Struthio camelus: one gene and its partner. The protein of the gene in region 1 purifies or fractionates together with the protein of each later gene. This does not show direct contact. Links are inferred from orthologs where the notes say so. Each region holds a gene or a part of one and is shown in the gene's direction. Other genes may lie near its edges.

Region 1 (10,321 bases):
TGCCAGGGCACTCACTCCATTCAGCAGCAGGCCCATGTTTTCCCTAGTCTTCCTTTTGCTATTGATGCATTTGAAGAAGCCCTTCTTGTTGTCCTTGACATCTCTTGCTAAATTTAATTCCAAAATGGGCCTTGGCCTTCCTCATCGCATCCCTGCATACTCTGACAACATCCCTGTATTCCTCCCAAGTGGCCTGTCCCATTTTCCACCTTCTGTACACTTCCTGCTTATGTTTGAGTTTTGCCAGTAGTTCCTTGCTCATCCGTGCAGGTCTCCTGCCCGCTTTGCTGGACTTCTTACTCAGGGGGATGCACTGCTCTTGAGCCTGGAGGAGGTGATTCTTGAATATTAACCACTTCTCCTGGACACCCCCCTCATTCTAGGGCCCTACCCCATGAGATTCCCCTAAGTAGGTGCCTGAAGAGGCCAAAGTTAGCTCTCCTGAAGTCCAGGGTTGCGATCCTACTTATTGCCCTGGTTCTTCCTCATAGGATCCTGAACTCCACCATCTCATGGTCACTGCAGCCAAGGCTGCCCCCAACCTTCACATCTCCAACTAGACCTTCTTTGTTTGTTAGTACAAGGTCCAGCAGCACACCTCTCCTCGCTGGCGTCTCCACCACCTGGGTCAAGAAATTATCATCAATCCTCTGCAGGATCCTCCCGGACTGTTTGTGCCTAGCTGTGCTCTCTTCCCAGGCAGATACCAGGGTGGCTGAACTCTCCCACGAGAACCAGGGCCTGTGATCGTGAGGCTACTTCCAGCTGTCGGTAGAAGGCCTCATCGACCACTTCCTCCTGGTCAGGTGGCCTGTAGTAAACCCCCACAACAGTGTCACCCATGTTACCCTGCCCTTTAATCCTTACCCATAGGCTCTCAACTTGCTCTTCATCCACCCCGAGGCAGAGCTCCATGCAGTCCAGCTGCTCCCTCACATAAAGGGCAACTCCACCACCTCGCCTTCCTGGCCTGTCTTTCCTGAAAAAGCACATAGCCATCCATGACAGCATCCCAGTCATGTGAGCTATCCCACCATGTCTCTGTAACTGCAACGAGATCATGGCCCTGCGACCGCACACAGATCTCTAACTCTTCCTGTTTATTCCCCATGCTGCATGCGTTAGTGTACAGGCATTTCAGAGAGCCAATCGAGCATGTAAGCTTCCCAGGAGAGGTGCAAGAGGAGCCTCCATAGCCACGTTGCATGCTGTGTCCCCTGGCTGCATGCACCCGCTGGAGGCATCCTGACTCGAGCGGTGTTTTACTGACTACCGTGTCACTATACCATTCCCCTTCCCCCATCTTTCCTAGTTTAAAGCCCTCCTTACTAGGCTGGCCAACCTGTTGGCAAAGACACGCGTGCCCCGCTTGGTGAGGTGGATCCCATCTCTCCCCAACAGCTGTTGATCTTCAGACAGGGTCCCATGGTCACAGAAACCAAAAACCCTGCTGCCAATAGACTAATCTTCCCTAGAGATTAGTCTGACTCTGCCACTATAAAATCTTGCACTTATCCATGTGCATCTGGGAAAGACTGGCCTCTCGGTTCAGAGGAGAAACATCCTTTGGGTTTGCAATTATTTGATCTCCATTTTCAGAACTTCCTCAAATGACAGGATAAGAGGGGATAACTTCCCTCACAGGAAAGAGCCTGGCAGGCAGAGAGGGCTGATCTTCTTAATGGTGTCTTCAAATCGCCTTAATATAAATCCTCATAGAATAGCCTTATTGGTTTGAATAGGGATGAAAGCAATAGCGTTGCAAAGAAATGAGTAGTGTTTGTGAGAAGCTGCACTAGAGATTTTTGCACAGTAATAGAAATTGATCTTTTTTGCTATAGAATTTGAGCAATCCTTAAGAATTTAAGAGACTTATTTTCCTGTTAAAGAATTCTAAATATCAATTTAAAAAAATTCTTCAAGGTGATCAATCTCTGTTAAACCATCAGGGCTTTCTTATTTGGGATGGGCTATAAATGTGCTGCCTTGTTCATAGGAGTGAACCAATTCAGGAGTCCTGCCTTGGTGATCCGCAGAACTTAGGTGCTCCACTTCTGGCAGCAGGTACTTCACTCTGGCAGCATGAGTATCTATTTTCATTATCACCAGACTTTGCTATCACTGTATATTTGCAGCCATCTGACACTTAGCCTAAAGCATAATGGAGAAAAAGATCGCATTTCTTCATTGTCCTGTTTGCTTCAAACTATCCAGTCCTACGAACTTTTGTGCCTTTGAAAAATTAATATGCTGTTACTCATACAGCCCACCAGTGCAAGCGAGCGCTGCAGAACTGATCTGTTGATATCTCCCTCTTAAATTTTACCCCTTGGCAAATCTTATTCAGAATTGTAGGTGAATCAACACTTTAGTTTCTGAATGAACCCCTAGTAATTTTTCAACAGGATTTTAAACAGGATTTTAGCCAGTAAAGCACATTTTAAAATGACTCGAGTTGTAAAAAGCCATTTACTGTGACATCTTAAAGCAGCAACAGCTGCCTAGGTTTGGTTCTGACAGCTGCTTTTCACCTAACAACAAGTAGCCTATTCATGTTTATTTATTCATTGATATTGAAAAATAACACAACAGGATCAGGTGCCTTAGCTGACTAATGTCTTACTTTTTATCTGTGTTAGCTCCTCTGTCCCAGTATTCATGACATATGTATATTTTGTATTAAAGACAAACCTTTTGGTTAGCTTTATTATTATAACATTGGCATATTTTAGCTTTTCGGCTAAAGCAATTAAGATCCCATCCAGAAAAGGTACATGTTTAATGGGAAAACAGCAATAATCCCTCTAGCTTTCCAGGGACCACATGCAAACTTAAAAGTAAGGTTTTCAAGTACTGTCCTAGACGAGAGCAAATCCTCTGGCCTAAGGCTTACATTCCAGGTCTCCTGGGATCTCTACAGAGTCCCATATTCCTCGTTTATACCAAACTCAGAGTGCAAATATACTTAAGTTTTTAAAAGAGCATACAGCTAAGAGCCTTGTCAAATAAGGCTTTTTCTGTAACCTTGGCACCCCTGAAAAACAGGAGCAGGTACTTTTTCACGTATCTGCACTTTTCATATTAAACTCCTTCAGGTTCTTCCATATTTGGGGCAATTGTTAATCACCCTCTTTCCATGTAGCGAGGACAGACAGGGTGTCCCTCCGGTGCTGTGGGGAGCACAAGTGGCTTGCTCGAGGTCAAGGGGCTCGAGGAACCTCAGTGGAAGCTCATTTACTAATTAAATACCTGTTACTTGTTTGCAAGCTGGCAAGCTTTGGCCTGCCAAAGCTGAAAATTCAAATCACTGTGAAGTAATAGGATAGCTCTGCAATGTCATTGGCAAAAGGAAGCCTGAGGTGTTTCAGAAGTGAAGATTTTTGCACCATGTTTTCATTTATATGTTCCTATTGGGACTTTTGTGGAGAGGAGCTGTTTTGCTTTGAGAGGGCAGGAATGGCCAAGCCGTCACAGGCCAGAGCAGTACAGTGTTCAGAAACTCACATTCTCCCCTAGTTACACCATCAGCTGTTCTTAAGCACCTTTTTCTTTATTGTCAGTTAGAAGCCTACATCCTCCACTGCACTTTGGGATTTGTAGGAGATTTGGAGTGTAAAGATATGAAGCTGAGAAACAAGTATTTGAGCAGTCGCCCTTGCCCCAGTTTGTAGGCGGTCAAAGCCTACTTTTGGTCAGTCCGCTCCTGTTCAGTGTGGTTAGGGAGGGTGGTAAATGGCAGGCACCAAGAGATTATTTCTGTTCAACCTGGTGCACCCATTGCTCGATACGCACAAGGAGTCTCCTTGAAAACGCCATTTCATCCTCATCTGGAGCGCTAAAGACTGTACGAGATGGCCCCTGCAGACACATACAGGAGCTAGGCTAAAAGGTGAGTCGCTGGAGGGGCTTCACAATTGTAGAGAAGAAACAAAGAGATAGCACTGAAAAAAAAAACCCTGGGAGAATGGCTTCCACACCCAAAAAGAAAGTGGCAGATAAAAACGAGCAGATGTTATATGCAAATACTAAATAACTAAATACTAAATAACATAGTATATTCTTGGTGGATCACGCTTGCAGATAATTACAAGAGCTACTGAAAGAGCTGGTAGAGTTCTGTAGTATTAGTTAAAATCAGTAAAATTAAAAATATATACATTTGGGGAAACCATTCAGCAGCAGTTACACTCACGTCTCAAAAGTTTAAAGTGGTTTGATGCCGCCGTGTCGGGAACTAAGCACAGGCAACAATGAAGACACACTGTGATCATTCAAAAAAGTTCTCTCTCCCAGCTAAGCCCGTCCCGTCTCCTCTGGAGAAGGCCTCCTATGCTTTGTGCCCAAATTGACTTGTTTTGGTAGCACTGAGGAAGGAAATGGCATGGCATTACCATGGATTTGCAGGCAAGTAGGGCTAATGTTAGGTGCTCAGCCGAACATAAAGAAAAGTAGCCAGGCCTGCTCTCATTGAAAACCTCGGGGTGGGGGGGGGGGTCAGCCAGGGCTGCCGCAAGCGGCAAGAGACTTTCGCCAAGTGGTCCAGGTGATTTGCTAAACCTGTGCCTCAGCTAGACCAGAAAGGTCGCCATCAAGTTAAAATCATTTGTTGTAAAGTTCCTCATCCCCGTTATTTTCATCTTATGGTGTATTAAACAAAAAAAAAATGCCCCCTGTGCCTGAGCTGCTGCAGATTCTGTGGGAAACTTTAGCGTTTACCTCGCTAGAAAGAAGGTGCTCGGTACTAGGGCTTGGCGTGAGTGTAAGCCCGAAAGGGAGTAGCTTGTGGTTTTATCATAGTTGTGCGCTGTAGTGGCGCTAAGGAGTAACTGCCTAAGCGTTACCTTGTATATCACACTAATCCTCCTGACGTAGATGGTTTTTAAAGGAACTCTATTTCAACACAGCTCGCCAGATGTACAGTGGGGCCGCGCTTCCCGAATTGCACAAAGACCGCGAAGAAAAGGTTGCAATGAGGTGAATTTTTAAACCACTCATTCTGACACACTACGAAAAATTACGTGAGGCACGCCGAGCATTTTCACAGCGCGCTAAACTGACTCCTACGGGGGGGGGGGAGGGGGGGGAGGATCTTCCCGCCTCTTACGCCCAGGAGACGTGACCCTTAGCCAATGAGTTCATTGAGTTTTATCATTGGTGTCAACGTCGCCTGGGAGAGGAAAACCTAGGTGCGTTTCGCAAACCTAAGGCTGGGAGTAGAGTAGCTGCGAGATTTTTGTTTGTTTGTTTGTTTGTCTACTGACAAAACAGTGTCAGCGTTTTAAAAAGGAAGGGGACACGTTGCGCAATGCTTAGCGATTTGAGAGCCCCCCCCCTTTTTTTTTTTTTTTTTACTTCTGTGGGGTTTTGTTTGTTTGGGGAATTTCGCAGGCTGAAAAATGCCCGACGCGAACGGGACGTAGGGGGAAGGTGAGCCCGCGCTGCCCGCCCCCCGCAGCGGCCGGCGGCTCGGCTCGGCTCGGGGCAGGTGCCCGGTCCGCGGAGGCAGCGCCACGCGCGCGCGGGGGCAGCGCGGGACTGGCGGCAGCGGCCCCGGCCCCGGCGCGCGCGCGCGGCCCCGCCCCGTCCCGGCCGGGCTGTTTGAGTGAAGTCATCTCCGCCGTCACAATGGGCAACACCTCCCCTCCTCCCCGGCTTCCCGCGCGGCCTTTCTCCCTTAAAAGGACAATGGGGCGCGCGAGCGAAAGGGCTCGATTGAGTAGAATGGGGGCCGTGGGAACGGCGCGTGCGCAGAGCGGCGCGCGCCGCGGGGAGGGGAGGGCAGATGAGAGGAGGGGGGGGCGCGCGCGCGCGCGCGGGCCCGGAGGTTGCATGCAGGCAGCGGGGCGCGACGGGGCGGCTGCGCAGAGCGCGGCGCGGCGGGGCACGCTCGCGGTCTGCTGGCGGGTGCACGGGGAGCTGAGGTGAGTGCCGCGGGGGGCAGAGGGGAAGGAAAGTCTGGGCAATGAGAAGCGAGAGGCTCGGGTTTGAATTTCTTGTTCTCTTTTCCTTTTTTTTCCCCTCCCCTTTATTTTTTCTTTTTATTTTCTTTTTTTTTTTTTTGCAACAGTCGGTGGTTTGTGGTCGTTGCAAGTTAATCCTGGAGGCTGTCCTTAGTTTTGGTACAGTGAGAACACTTTACCGCCCGAAACAGTTTGACACGCATGGCTCCTGTGTGCGGCGTTCCTCTCCCCCCTCCCCCTTTTTTTTTTTTAAAAAAAAAAAAAGGTAGTGGAGTTTAAAGCAGCCGCTCCGGTCGCGAAACGCCTCCCGCATTGTTGCACACCCCCCTCACCGACTTTGACCCCCCCCCCCACTCCACCCCAAAGTGAGATGAAAACGTTAAACCCCCGAGAGGAAGCGCGATCTAGCTGCAGGCGACGGAGCCGCGGAGCGCTCCGGGGCCGCGGGCGCGGAGCCCCGCCGCCGCCGCGCCGGGAGGGCGGCCCGGCCGTTGCGCGGGGCGCGGGGGCGGCGCAGGTGCGGCGCGGCCCTGCGCAGCGCCCGCACACCTGTAGCGCTGCCGCGCACAAGTTGGTGCCCGCTCGGCGGCGGAGCGGAGGGGGCACCACGGGCGCCCCCCTTCCGCGGGGGGGGGTGGGGGGCGGCGGCTTGCTGACTTTTTAGAATTTTTAAATTTTTTTCCCCTGTTGTTGTTTTTTTTTTTCTTCTTTAGAGCGGTCAGGGGCTCTGCCCGCCCCGAAATAGGGGGGGGGGGAAGTGTGCGCGTGCGGTGGGGTGACACGCGGGGCCGCTGCGCGGGCGGTGATGGCGCCGCCGCCAGCGCAGCGCAGCGCGGGGGCAAAAGCGGCTGCCGGACGCCGCCGCGCCGCACGCAGACAACGGGCAACTTCTGGCTTCCGCGGGGGCCTGCGCGCTCCCTCGCCGCCTGCCCCGAGCCCCGCGGAGCGGCCGGCCGCTCCCGGGTGCCGCACGTCGGCGGGAGCCGGCGGAGGGGAAAACAAAGGGCTCCCATGTGCTGCCGGCGCCGCGACTCCGCGTGTGCGCCCGACCGCGCGCGGAAACGCGGAGGGGAGGGAGGGGGGGGCGCCGACCGGCCGGAGTGAGCGTGCCCCGCGCCGGGGGGGGGTGTTTGAGGGGCTGGCTGCAGGTTTGGGAGCACTTTGGAGGGGCGGCGAAACTTTGGATGCGCGCACGCTGCCGCGAGGTACCACGCCGCCGCGTGCATGGAGGAGGCGGAGGAGGAGGGGGCGTGTTTGCGCGTGTGGGGCGCGCAGGGAGGGAAGCCCCGTCCGCGGTACCGGGGTGGGGTGGGGGGGCTGCGTTGGCGCCCCCGGCCGCGGCGGGGGGGGGTGTTGGTGGTGAGGGGGGGTATCTACCCCTTCTGCCCTTTGAAGTGGGGCTGTTGCCATGTTTGAATTACGTCAGGGCAAAGCCATGAGGAAACAGCGACGGGCGGGGGCGGGGGGGGGCGCCCGGAGCCGCGGCCGCGCACCGGGGGCGGCTGCAGCCCCGCTCGCCCCGGCTGGGGCCAGCGCGGCCGGGCCGGGGCCGCCTGGTCAGTCCCGTGTCCCCCCCCCCCCCCCGCACTTTTTTTAAATTTTTTTTAATATATATTTATGTGGGCTTTCTGGAAGTTGCACGTTTCGCCCTTCGGGGGCAGGGGAGGGGGCGCGCGTTGCGGGCGGGCCGGCGGTGGTGGTGGCTGCTCCTACGGCTCCCGGCCCACCTGCTCGGCGGAAAAGTAGGTCGTGGGCCCCGCCGCCAGCCGGCGGGGGTCTTTGTTCGCGGAGGGCGGGCGCGGAGCCACCGCGCTGCCCCCGCGCCACGCGCTGCTCGGCGGACAACCGGCCGCAGCCTCCGCGTGCCGGCAGCGCGCCTCCCCCGCGGGCTGCTCAAACTGTACTTTGCCGGGCATCCCCGGTTATTGTTACTTTTTTTTTTCTTCTTCTTTTTTTTTTTTACTATTATTTATTTACTTGCTGTTTTGAGCCGGGGAAACGGCTTCCATTCAAATCTCTCATTGGATTAAAAATTGCCGTCTCCTTTTTACACCCATCGCCGGATGCGTAGCTGAAGGGGTTTAAAGGGGCCTGCCAAACCTGTTGTTTACCCCACTGCGTGTTGGCACAGGGCTGAATGCTGCCTGCCCCGTGGCTCCCCCCAGCCCCGCAGGCGAGTCTCTCCTGGCAGGAATAGCCCCAGATCATCCTGCCGATGGCCTTGTCCCCGACCATCCGCTCGCTCTCTAGGGACTGGCAGTCCTGTGTGCCCAAATTATTTCATAATCGTTACAATTGCAAAAAACTTTAGAGCTGTGCTCCAGCACCGTAGGGTTGCAGGCAGCTGGCCTAGGAAGCAGTCCCTCAACCTGGGTGTGTACAGCACGTGTCTTTTCGCTGGGCTGAAGGCAAGGCCCCTGCCACCATCCCCGTGTGGGTGCAGAGAGGAGAAGGCCAAGTGTCCTGAACTGAGTCCAGAGCTTCAAGAGCTTTGCATTGGAGGCTTAAGGAGCATACTTTTAACACATCCTGATGCAGTGCTATTTTTCCTTTCCGATTTTAATTCAGGTGAAGGGGATAGGTTGACAGCTGTGGAGACGCCTGTTTACCCTCACGCAAGGCAAAGCAGGAGGTTTGACGGTTCCTCAGCAAACCCCGCTGCTCCCGTGGACTTACTTCTAAAGGTGAGACTGTTTCTGCCGCGTGCCACGATACGCTGCGGAAACCCCCTTCTCCTCAGTGTGCACGTAGCCAGCTTCACTGTGTAGTTTTCTGTTTTCTTCAATGACCAGAGAAAGTTGCATGTGCTCTACAGCATGGGGCAAGCAGTGAACTAGGGGTCTTTCTGCTGACATCCGTGGGCACCAAGCTCTCTTCCCCCCCCCCCCCCCCCCCCAAAATAAATTCCAGGTTTCTTGAAGTCTGCAGTCAGTGGTAGTGAATCAGTAAGTAACAAGTCATGGGATTTTCAAACACATCTACAGGCATGCAGTATCCAGCTGCCCCTGAAAGTAGGTGGGATCAACTTTCCCAGAGCCTCTGGGAAAAATTCCTCCGTGCTTCTCTCCCAACCAGTAGGAGATTCTCAAAGGGGAGCTAGTTGCCTACAGCTTGCAGTCTTTCCTTTAAAAAGAAAACATCCTTTACTGCTTAGTAGAAGAAAATGAACTGATAAATTCTCACATGTTAAAAATAAACAATGTTAAAACTGTGATGGTTTGTTATCTTAGTTGTGCTGAACAGCTCTTTCTGGGTCACCAGACTGCTTTGCATTGATTCTAATTAGCACTTGATGATTCGTACTTCTTTCGGAATGCGATGAACCGCATGCAGTCTGAAGCAGAAGTTGGTTGTACCTTCTCTAGCACTTGCTTTTTAACAAAAGAAGAAGCCAGCAAGCCTGGGGTGGGAACAGAGGGCTGGAAACTGGATAGATTAGCAGAATGGAGGGGCAGGACTCCATTTCACCACTTGGGCTCTTGCATTTCTTTAGAAGGTGCTCAGTCAGTCCAAAGTCCAAATGAAGTCTCCAGTAATACTTACGGATACTGTAAATATATCCTTTATAATGAAGTCACTCCACTCATTTTGTTACATGTATCCTTTTCCTCCCTTGCAGACCCTATCAGATATTTTATCTTCTTCTAAAAAGACCTTTTCAGTGTCTAATGACCTCAGCTCTCCATGGTGCTTTTTCAGCAGCAGGTGGATACAAACAACATCATAGCAGCTGCAGTCACTGCTCTCAGATGAGCAACACAGACTCAACTCCAGCACTTACTTAAGAGCATCCCAGCATTTCCCTGCCATGCTCCTGGTTAGACCGCACATAGTGTTATGTAATAGGATTTTCCAAAAAAAAAAAAAAAAGCCTCTTTCAAAATGGAATATCTGCAGGTGTGACAGGTTTGGGATTTTTTTTTTTTTCCTATGCAAATGTTACTGATTACTGTTTTCATCCTTTGGCCTGTCCCTTCAGGAGTACTAGCTGCATAGCAATTTGCAGGAACACCCAAGTGGCTTAGCCTTTCACTTTTTTTCTTTGCCTAAATGGGTTAGGTACTTATTTCCTACTGAAGATCAGTAGGTCATAGGCTCTTTAGGCTCCTTTTCAAAAGCAGTCAAGTTGCAGACTTCACTTGGAATAGCTTGTGACTCAGCCTGAATGCTGTAGGAGGCTCAAACATAGGAAAGAAATGTTGGTTTTAATTTCTGATACGTGGTCTTGTAGCTGCTGCTTGTTACATCTGGTATGCTAAGTTTTCATGGCAGCACAGAGCGTATACAACGGTAGCTGCAGAAGACTAGCAGTAAAAGAGTTAGCTTACTTATTTTGGCAGAGGAAAGATTCCTGAAGATCT
Region 2 (9,474 bases), on another chromosome or scaffold:
AAATAATTTTGCAATACTGACAAACTCGCAAATGAACTTCCAGAAGAGCCCTGCAGAAACTCTGCATGTCTGCCAGCCCTTGGGAGAGGACCAGTTATGTACAGATTATTTCCCTTCTATCAGTGGGAATATTTTGCCTCCCTCTCTCCCGCTACCTTACTGGCAGGAATAAAAGGGGGCTTTAGAATTATGGATTTATTTTGATTGTAGTTCTAAGCTTACTTGAGACCATTTGCAACACATGGCAGAATATCTTGCCTAGAAAATACACGAGGTGAGGGAAGAACATGATCCAATAGCCTTCCAACACAGCTAGTTGCTGGCATACAGCGAAGACTTTAACTTGCTGCTGACCTTGTCCTGCTGGGAGAATAGTCTTTTCCTTCTTCTTGTGACCCATCTCCTAATATTGCACTTTGAAATTGAGTGTGAAGAATCAGATTTAATTTGCTAGAGCATCCCAGTGTATCATTTCTTTGTGATAATGCATAAAAATTATTCAAAGTGACCGAATTCAGTTTTCAAGAGTTCACAAACAACCCTGTGCTTCCACTTCTTTCTTAAACCTAACTATAGATGAGGCCCTGCGACTGACTAAAACCTCTTGTGTAACTTCCAGATAAATTTCTCTGTGAGGCTTCTTTTTTTTATCATTAATGATATATACTGCGTCCTGCCCCCTTTGCCTTGCCCCCCAACAATCAATCTTGTGATGCCCAGTGCAAGATAAACTATGTCTCTGAACTGGGAGAACAACTCCTAACCAGAAGATACTTCAAACCCATCAAAATGTACTGCACTATATTGGACCAAATCCAACAGAAACTCTTTTGTCCCTGGTTCTCCTTGAGGGTTTCATCTATTCCTGTGTCTTACTGACTCACATTCTGCATCTTTGGCTTCTCTCTGTAGAATCTTTTCCTTGTCAGAAACATCCAGCAAATTAACAGGGATCTTTTCCATTTTCACATGCAGAAAACCTAGGACTTTCTTGAAACCTGCTCTCAAACAGGTTTCAACCACTCCCACCTTTCTTTTGAAGTATAGTTATCATGGCTTCAGTCCCTGAGAGGCAGAAACATTTCAAAACTGATACATGTATCTTTTTCTTTTTTTTGCACCAGGCCACTTCTCTAATAAGGATTTGTAAAGCACTTAGAAATGTGTAGGATTATTCATTATGCAGTTACTTGCTACAATGAAAGCTGGTAATCAGTTTGATAATCGAAAGATAATAACAGCTTTCCAGATTCTGGAGTGATATGTATTTGCAGTCACTGTCTCCATTCAGCAAATTAGGTGTAAAATTACAGAGTCTCTGCTTCCTAGTTGTTTTTGAACATGTCTGGTCTAATAGCTACCATGTTGTGCCAGGTTCCACTTTTCTGTGTTTTCCACAGATGTTGTTCAATAGCCAGATTCCTGTTATTGGTTTAAATGTCCAGATTAAGTGTTGTGAAGCTGATGCTTGCATTTCCAAGCTCCTCCTCTTCATGTGTGAGCTCCCATCTTCAATCATCCTCCTCTCTCCCAAACTGGGAAAGGAGATTTCACCATCTGTCATGGTCTGTGCTGGCCAGCATGTTATTTATAACCACGCTTTTTGTGTCCAAATTTTTTCCAGTATCAGCTTTTAACATAATTACTACTCTCTAATTTTGCATTATTGCCAACTGTCCCTGCTGATGGACTATCTCTCTTTCTAATTGTTCACAAATATCGCATACTAGATGCGGATTCCATTTCATCACACGCTTTAAAACATGAGCTGACAAGGATCATGAAGATTTACTTCTTAATGGCTATTTTACTCTGGTGAAGGGGAAAACTCATGATATACAAATTATATTGCTTTGCAGACCTCCTGTGCTTCCTTTCACTGATCTTGACATGGTTTTAAACCTATAGATTGGTCCTCTGGCAGCTGACTATTACGCCCTTGCTAGTATCTTCTCACAGCAAGAATACAAGTCTTTGCAAGTCTTCTAACAAGCCAGCTAGTTTCTTCCTTTCCCCTTTCCTTCTAGCACACAGCTGGGCTCTAGCAAGATAGCTGCTGCTACCTGGTATGTTACGGGCTTGTAGGTGATCTGGGTAAGTCACTTTAATTCTGGGAACAAGTGGTACTGTGCCATCAACACTGTCTATAGCTGCTGGAGATAGCCCATTCTTTTTTTTTTTTTTTCAGTAATCCATTTGGACAGTGAGGTCAACTTCAACCAGTACAGTTTTTCCTTCCACCCACCCTGTCCCCCAAGACAGTAAACGTTTGTATTGCTATAGCTGGGTAATTTCATTCCTGCCCCATGGACACAAACAGAATAAAAGAAACACATAAAAATCTTATCTTACTAAAATGCTTTTTCTGGCTCAATTCCCCATCACGGTTGCTTATTTCCACCGTGGCACGGGAACTTTAATTTCCTTCTGGGGCTTATTATTAGCTTCCCTCTTCAGTTAGGAAGTTACAAATAGGCCAAAGGTTTCCTGATTTCCTGCCATTCCTTCCCCTGCCACTGTTTCCAGTCAGTTCTTCTGATCTGTCCAGAACATTTGATTTCTAGCCTTTTTATCTTGCCAGCCCCAAACGGGAATTTTCAATTTCAGACATATTTTATTCTGGTTTCTTTTTGTCAGTTCCTCAGTTCTCTATGGATCCCTTAAGTGAAACTTCAGATCCAGCTTGTGAAATTCACCAGTTTCCTCTGGGGAGATCTCCAGCTCATGTTTCAGGCCTTCTCTTCATTCCTTTTAGCCGTTTTAATTTCTGACACCACCGTTAACACTTTCAAAGGTAGTTCAAAGGAACAGCAGCTTACTATGCATTTCCTTGGTAACTGCCTCTAATTTTTAAAACGGTATGAACCAGCACTTGGTCAGATGTCGGGGTCCCAGAAGTTGTTTCTAGACAAGGAAAACCTGTGGACGCAGTTGGTTGTTATTGCTTTTCTAAATAACCCAACCACTAGGGGGGAAAAAAAAATCCAGTTTCCTTACAGATCAAAAGTCGTTAAGTGGCAACTCCTTAAACATCGCTCTGGCTCCTTTCTGCTAGCCCGTAGCTAACATCTCGGCCTGTGCAGGGCAGGTGGCAGCAGCTGTGCTCCCAGGTCGAGCTGGGCCCCCGGCAGCAGCACGCCTGGCCCTGTGCCCCGTGGCTGCCGGGTGGCGCACAGCACGCGTGACTGTCCTGCTGAGGCCCAGCCCACCGTGGCTGTGCCATTACCAGAGCAGGACTGGGCCCCAGGGGGAGGTGTGAGGGAAAGGCCTGATGGAGCCCTTGGAGCGGGAAAAGCGCTTCTGGGAAGCAGAGGCAGGAGATGGAGGTGCGCATCTTCAGCAGCGAAAGGTGCCTAGTATTGCAGATCTAAGAAAATATTAATTTCTGTGTACACTGGCTGCTTTTAAAAGTTACAGGTGTTTCATACCATAGACCTATAATTATAAAACTCATTATGGATTAAATCAAAGTGTGGGTAAAGCATACCAGATTCTCCGTGGCCCCCAGTTAGCTAAGAGGCCCGAGAAAACCAGAACAATGCTGGTTTGAACATTGACCAGAACGTTGAAAAGGAAGGGATTGAGTTTGAATAGTGAAAGATAGGAGGTGGTTAATTTTGTCCAATATTTCTCCCCTTCAACAACTATCGTTATGTTAGTCTTGGCATTTGTGTTCTTGGAGAAGAGGTGGCACATCAGTGTACTCTCTTGGGTGGAGAGGGGAAATGAGTTGTTCTATATATGCGGAGATGTGGGATGCTTCAGGAAAAAAAAGCAATGACTAAAAAACAGCAGTGGTTATGGTAAGGTAAGTATTTCCACAGAGGCTGAAGTCCATAGGGAAGCTTGGCAGTTATTTATTGCCCCAAAATATCACCTGTATAATACATCCTTCCAAATTGCATAGAGTGACTAAATCTGGATCTCTTGACATGAAGAAATGCTACTGCCTGGCAATATAACCTTTACTTCTCATTGGAGCAATGTCACAGCACATCACTGGGACACACAGTACTACTTAAACCTGGCCCAAACTTATAAACTCAGCCTGTGCTATACAAACTACCTCACCTTAGCCTTAACACTTTTCTCAGAGATATTGCCCGTGCTTACCTGTAGGCCATGAGCACATATTTCATGGCTCCTGACAATCCCTGCAGGACTTCCCTGCCTGTGTGTGTCCTGAAGTGGAGCTAACCCATTGCTGGTAGCAGGGTGACAGCTCCGACGGCTTGCTCCGACAAGTGCCGTTCCTGTTCAGTACGTCATACATAGCACAATTAGTGGCAATTAGCAAACGAGTGGAAAAACACTGATACTCAAAGCCATGAAACCTACCCGAACCCTGCACAAATTGCAGCACACCCTCAGAGCCCTTTCTCACGTCCACTCCTACTGGTCGCTGCCTGTTTTAGGGGATTAAATTCAGTCTAGCTTAACTTGAAATGCGTCCCGCGATGTGAAAGTTAGGAAGAGGGGGCGAGCGGGGACCGGGACGCCTTGCCGGGAGGCGAAGCGCCGGGTTACGGCGTGGCTCCGGGGGGACGGGCGGGGGGGAGGCGGGGGGCAGGCCGCGGCGGAGCCGGGCTCCCGCCGCCCGCGTCGCTGCTCCGGGCGGCGGCGGTGCCGGGCGCGGCCCGCAGGGCCCAGGCCCGCCCCCGCTACCAGCCGGAGACGCGGCCAGGTGTGCGACCACCATGGAGCCTTTCAGTGAGGAGCAGTCCCGAGGGTGGCCCGGGAATGGGCAGGAAGAAGCCGCGGCCCCGCCGCCCCCCTCCCCCCCCTACTCCGGGCCCCCACAGCCATGAGCGGCGGCTTCCTCCTCCCTCCCTCCGTGCAGCTCCTGGCGGACTACAATTCCCAAGGTGCCTCGCGCACGCGCTAACCTAGCCTGCCGGCCCTGCTGCAGAGCCCGCCCCTCCTGCGTGGAGCTCGCCCAATGGGAGCGAGAGGAGGGCGCCGGGCGGCGTAGGTTGTGCCCGCCGGGTGAGGGGGGGAGGGGCCGGCAGCAGCTGCGGCGGCGGGAAGGGTTGTCCCAGGGCTCGGCGGCGGGGACGATGCCGGTCCATTCCCGGGAGAAGAAGGAGACCAACCACGATGAGATGGAGGTGGACTACGGGGAGAACGAGGGCAGCAGCTCGGAGGAGGAGGAGACCGAGAGCTCGTCCGTATCCGAGGAGGGGGACAGCTCAGGTACCGCGGCCGCCCGCGGGGGAAGCCCCTCGGCCCGGGCGGGTGCCGCGGCGGTTCCCGCAGCCGCCGGCGCCCTCCCCTGAGGGGACACCGGCCTCGCCCTGCCCCCCGCTCCGGGGGCGGCCCCCCCCGCCGCCCCCCGCGTGCCGTGACCCCGCCCCTCCCGCCGCCCCGGCCCCGCCGCCGCTCCCCGGGCCGCCGGCCCGGCGGTGGCCGTGGCGGGGAGGCGGGAGCCGCAGCCCCGCGGCGGGCTGAGCTGAGCTGAGCTGAGCCGAGCCGAGTCTCCTGGTCCGCAGCCGGCCGCCGCCCGCGCTTGGCGGGCCGGGCCGGGCCGCGCCGCGCTGGGGGAGTGCTGTCGGCTGTGCCCGACTGGGCTTGAGTGCAGGGCCGCTGCGGGGGGAGGTGCTCGCCTGAGGTCCTCGCTTCAAGAGCTCTGTGTGTGTGTGTGTGTTTATGTAGACACGCGCACACACACAAACACGCACGATCTCTTTTTCTGTTTGTGTATAAAATGCGTATGTGTATTTTCCTTTACGCAAAATCATCAGCCTCAATGAGGTTTAAATTTTCTTCTGCTCACCTCTTGAGGCCTGTCTGTGAAGTCATGCCAGCACTGCCTGCCACTTCTGCAAAGCTTTTATGCCTCTACCCTATTGAAAATCCCGTCTTCTCTTTCCCGTAACTTCATCTGGATTGTAGGCAGAGATTGATGTTAGTATGTGAAATCCAGGCTTTAAAAGGACTACCTTTTCTCCAATTTTCTCTGTGTTAGAAGAAAGTTGTCTATTCCAAGGTCCCTTATAATTCAAAGGGCTGAATTATAAGATGGCCTTTTGTTGGGAAAAGTACTGATCATCAAACATGCACACTACTAGCCTGAAATCACCAGGGCTCTATAGATATCTGCTGATTCGGGTAGTATCTTTGTCACTAGAAGTGCTAGCTGAAAAACACTGAGAAACTCTGATCCTGAGGTGTGTTTCTGGTAGTTTCGTCTGCCATGATCCTATCCCACGCTTGCACCTGCACACTGACCAGTGTTATGAGTGCCAGGCTTGGCACTGTGCAAGGAGTGGCAAAATATAAATTCGACTAGTTAGCTGTGAAATTACATTTTTAGCTATTTATGTGGACCAGTGATTGTTGTACCTGAGTGTGTTAAAATTCCCAGTGTACAGTTAATTCCTTCGTCATTTGATGTTATAAGATCTGGGATGTCTTGGATGAAAAGTTCTGTGGCTCTTATATTCACACTGACTTCAGTTTCTTGGAAAGCCCAGCTCTGGCTCCTTGTGGACTCACACAGCGTGACCATGTCTGGAGCAGTGTGTTAGCTAACAAGGTGCTGGAGCACTGCAAGTGTGGTACAGGGACAGCCAAGTTAGCTCTGCAAAAGTAGAGTGAGGACTTTGTCCTTGCTGGGGAAGTGTGGCTGCTGTACTGGGGAGGAGTATAGCCGTGCCCTTAGGCCTTACTCTAGGTTGATGCTCAGTTTGGACAAGAGGTGGTCCTCCAGTAGAGGCCTTGGTTAATCTACTAATCTAGGTAATCTGCCCACAGTTGATATGGAGCTTTATATTTTTGGTTTTGTTTTTCTTCTTCCTCTACCCCATTCCTCATCGTCCCCCCCCCCCCCCCCCCCCAGTTCCTTTGAGCTGGAAAATATTGCTAGTTGAGCCCCATTTTACAGTTTAGGCTCCTGGTCCATGTCTGTCCACATGAATCAAATTGCAGGCTGCTATGGTCCTGCCTGTCTTCTCTACGCGCCCTTCCTAGTATACCATACTCTCTTGTCCCCTTTCCTGCATGGTCTCCAGGGCTTACTGAGCCTTTGCATGCTAAGCTGTCAGAAAAATAACCCATAAAAAAGGAATAATTTTCTTCCAATGTACTATGTGAAAATGACTTAGTGAAGAGACTGGTGTGTGACAGTGGGAGGCACGAGGGACTATGTAAACCAGCAGTTAGATTGGCTTCTGCTGCTGTGGAGCTGCAGTTTTAAATTGCCATTGTGTAAAGATATGTAAATACCTCCAACTTAAATGATTTAGTCTGACACCTACTCGTTTTTGTGAATTTGGGACTAATGACTTGCATGGGTTTAGACAAGAGGTCTCCTGGAGCAGGGAGTTCTTAAATTCTGGGCTGTTTCCTTTTCTGAGGGAACATCTTGCTTCTCTTGTATAGTGTGATAGCGTGCAGGAAATCTCTTCAGTTAGCGAATGGTGGACCACATCCAGGTGTGGGCTTGCAAAATTATTATAAACGTAGTTTTATTGGTGTCTACATAAGTGAACTACTTTAAATTGTCTGGCAAAATCAGAATATATAAGCGGATAGTGCTGAGGCCCCTACATCTCTAAAGTAGCTAGGGTTTAATTTCAGATTTTCTAGCCTGATGCTAGAAACGTATTTCACTGGAAGCTGCCTCAAGGAAAAGTCATTATTTCAAGTCCTTTTGTTCTCCACAGATGTTTGAGCACGTTTGTCAGGTACCTGCAGCAAAGCTTTGGAGTCAATTTGATAGGAAAAGAATTTGATTTGTAATTACCAAAAGTACTCCAAAATGACCCAGTGCATGGAAAGCTGGGCTAGTTATGGGGCAGTCTTCAAAACTCTGCCGTGGCTCTGCACTGAAACATGAGTGTGGGCACAGTTTTTGTAAACAGGTGGGCCCAATTAATTGCCCCTTACTCCCTTTCTGTCAAAATGATGCAGTTTAAAAATAAAACTAAAAAAAGTGCTTCAACTGTCTTGGGTTGCTTTGATGAAACCCATGCAGCGTCTGTGTGTGCTGGTGGTTATGCTGGAAGAAAGGCAAGCTTGAGTGAGGGTATAGGGACAAGCAGCTGGAGGTGAGGTAATCATATCTTGAACTGGAAAAGCATATCCTTGTTTGCATAACAGCCTGCTCTCTTCCTTTCAGATATGATTTATGAAAGTAAGTATCAATTTTTTATTATTAGAAGCATTCATGAGATAAAATGGCAATACAGCATTCTGGATAAGAACTTCATGGAAACAGCTCTTCCCTCCTGGAGGCAACTATTTTTCAAGAAGTACCACCATACATAGTAGAGTGAAGTTTAAGTCTTTCAGGGGAAAACATGTAGAGTGTAAAGGGGGAATACAAGCTTAACATATTAATTAGACAGTAAGTGGGTGAGACACAAGGTGATGAAGGACTCCTCAAGGAGGTCCAAGAGCTGCACTGCAATGATAATCCCTGCTAGTCAACCCATCTTAGACTTCCAGTTTGTGTTGTAGTTAGATGTTGTCTGGGAGTGCCCATTTTTAGATTAGCTGGAGACAAAGAATGTCTTTTGCTGTGTAAGAAAGGGAGCTTGGTATGAGAGAAGTAAACTTAACTCTCTCCTCCAACTCCCTGGCTCTAATGAAAAGAGAACTGGTTTCTGATAGTTCCAGCCACTGACTTTGAGGTTGGTTCCTTTTCAAAACTTGCCTTTGCTCCTGTTTGTAGCTTTGCAAAGTAATATTCTTAAAGGCAAATTTTGAAGTTTGCATGTCCACAATGACACTTCAGTTGATTTCTTTTTTTTTTTTTTTAATTGAAGGCAAATAATTCTATTGTCTTGCCATTGTCTTGATGTCTTCTGAGATTAGAGGGAGGAAGAGGGAGGAAAACTTTGTTTTAAGACAATATAATCTGTGGATAGTTCTTTAAAACAAAACAAGAAACGCTGCATATAATTTCTGCTGCATTCCATGGAGAACTGCTTCTAAGGAAAAACTTAAATAGCAATGATTACAGAAAACTACATGCTTGTCTCAATGTCTTGACAAATATGACCATGTCCCATGGAAGCATGTTGCTTCTACAGATGTAAAATGATAAGCACAGTAAGAAATATATCTTAATTAAAATCAATAAGAAAAAGAAGAAAAGATTTTGAAGGAAAGGATTTTTTTTGTTAAATCTGTCTTTGCTTTATTTACATTTGACTATCTTTTTTTCAGTAGGTGCCTGAGAATAAAATATGCAGTTAGAAAATCAATATATCTTGCCCTTGAGAACTGGTGCTATTTCTGTCCTATTCCTTTTGATAATATATATTTAATATATGGGTTTTGTTGACCAGGGTATAGAATAACCTTTTAGGGATGAATAAAACCACAAGTTATGCTGACCATCCCAGATGAGAATTTGGACATTTTGTGGAACGCTTTTATGTAGGCCACAGCTTATAGAAAAGCTATTTTAGGCACTGTTACGTTTTAAGTACCATTTCTTTCTTTCTTGCCTTTAAACTAGGCTGCCCT

The links. The genes of interacting proteins can lie anywhere in the genome.
Region 2: the proteins of SINHCAF (region 1) and BRMS1L purify together in Homo sapiens (affinity purification with mass spectrometry; 3 studies listed by BioGRID and IntAct, counting the BioPlex papers as one, with this or other methods). This does not show direct contact. The link is inferred for Struthio camelus from reciprocal best matches to the Homo sapiens genes SINHCAF and BRMS1L.

Annotation. Positions count from the first base shown.
Region 1 is NC_090942.1:68,093,160-68,103,480, forward strand, and holds the start of SINHCAF (SIN3-HDAC complex-associated factor), read left to right. Parts: upstream 1-5,769; 5' UTR 5,770-5,921; intron 5,922-7,435; exon of another isoform or gene 7,436-7,516; intron 7,517-8,528; 5' UTR 8,529-8,644; intron 8,645-10,321. UniProt on the Homo sapiens protein: Subunit of the Sin3 deacetylase complex (Sin3/HDAC), this subunit is important for the repression of genes encoding components of the TGF-beta signaling pathway.
Region 2 is NC_090946.1:55,614,902-55,624,375, forward strand, and holds the start of BRMS1L (breast cancer metastasis-suppressor 1-like protein), read left to right. Parts: upstream 1-4,673; 5' UTR 4,674-5,057; coding exon 5,058-5,193; intron 5,194-9,474. UniProt on the Homo sapiens protein: Involved in the histone deacetylase (HDAC1)-dependent transcriptional repression activity. When overexpressed in lung cancer cell line that lacks p53/TP53 expression, inhibits cell growth.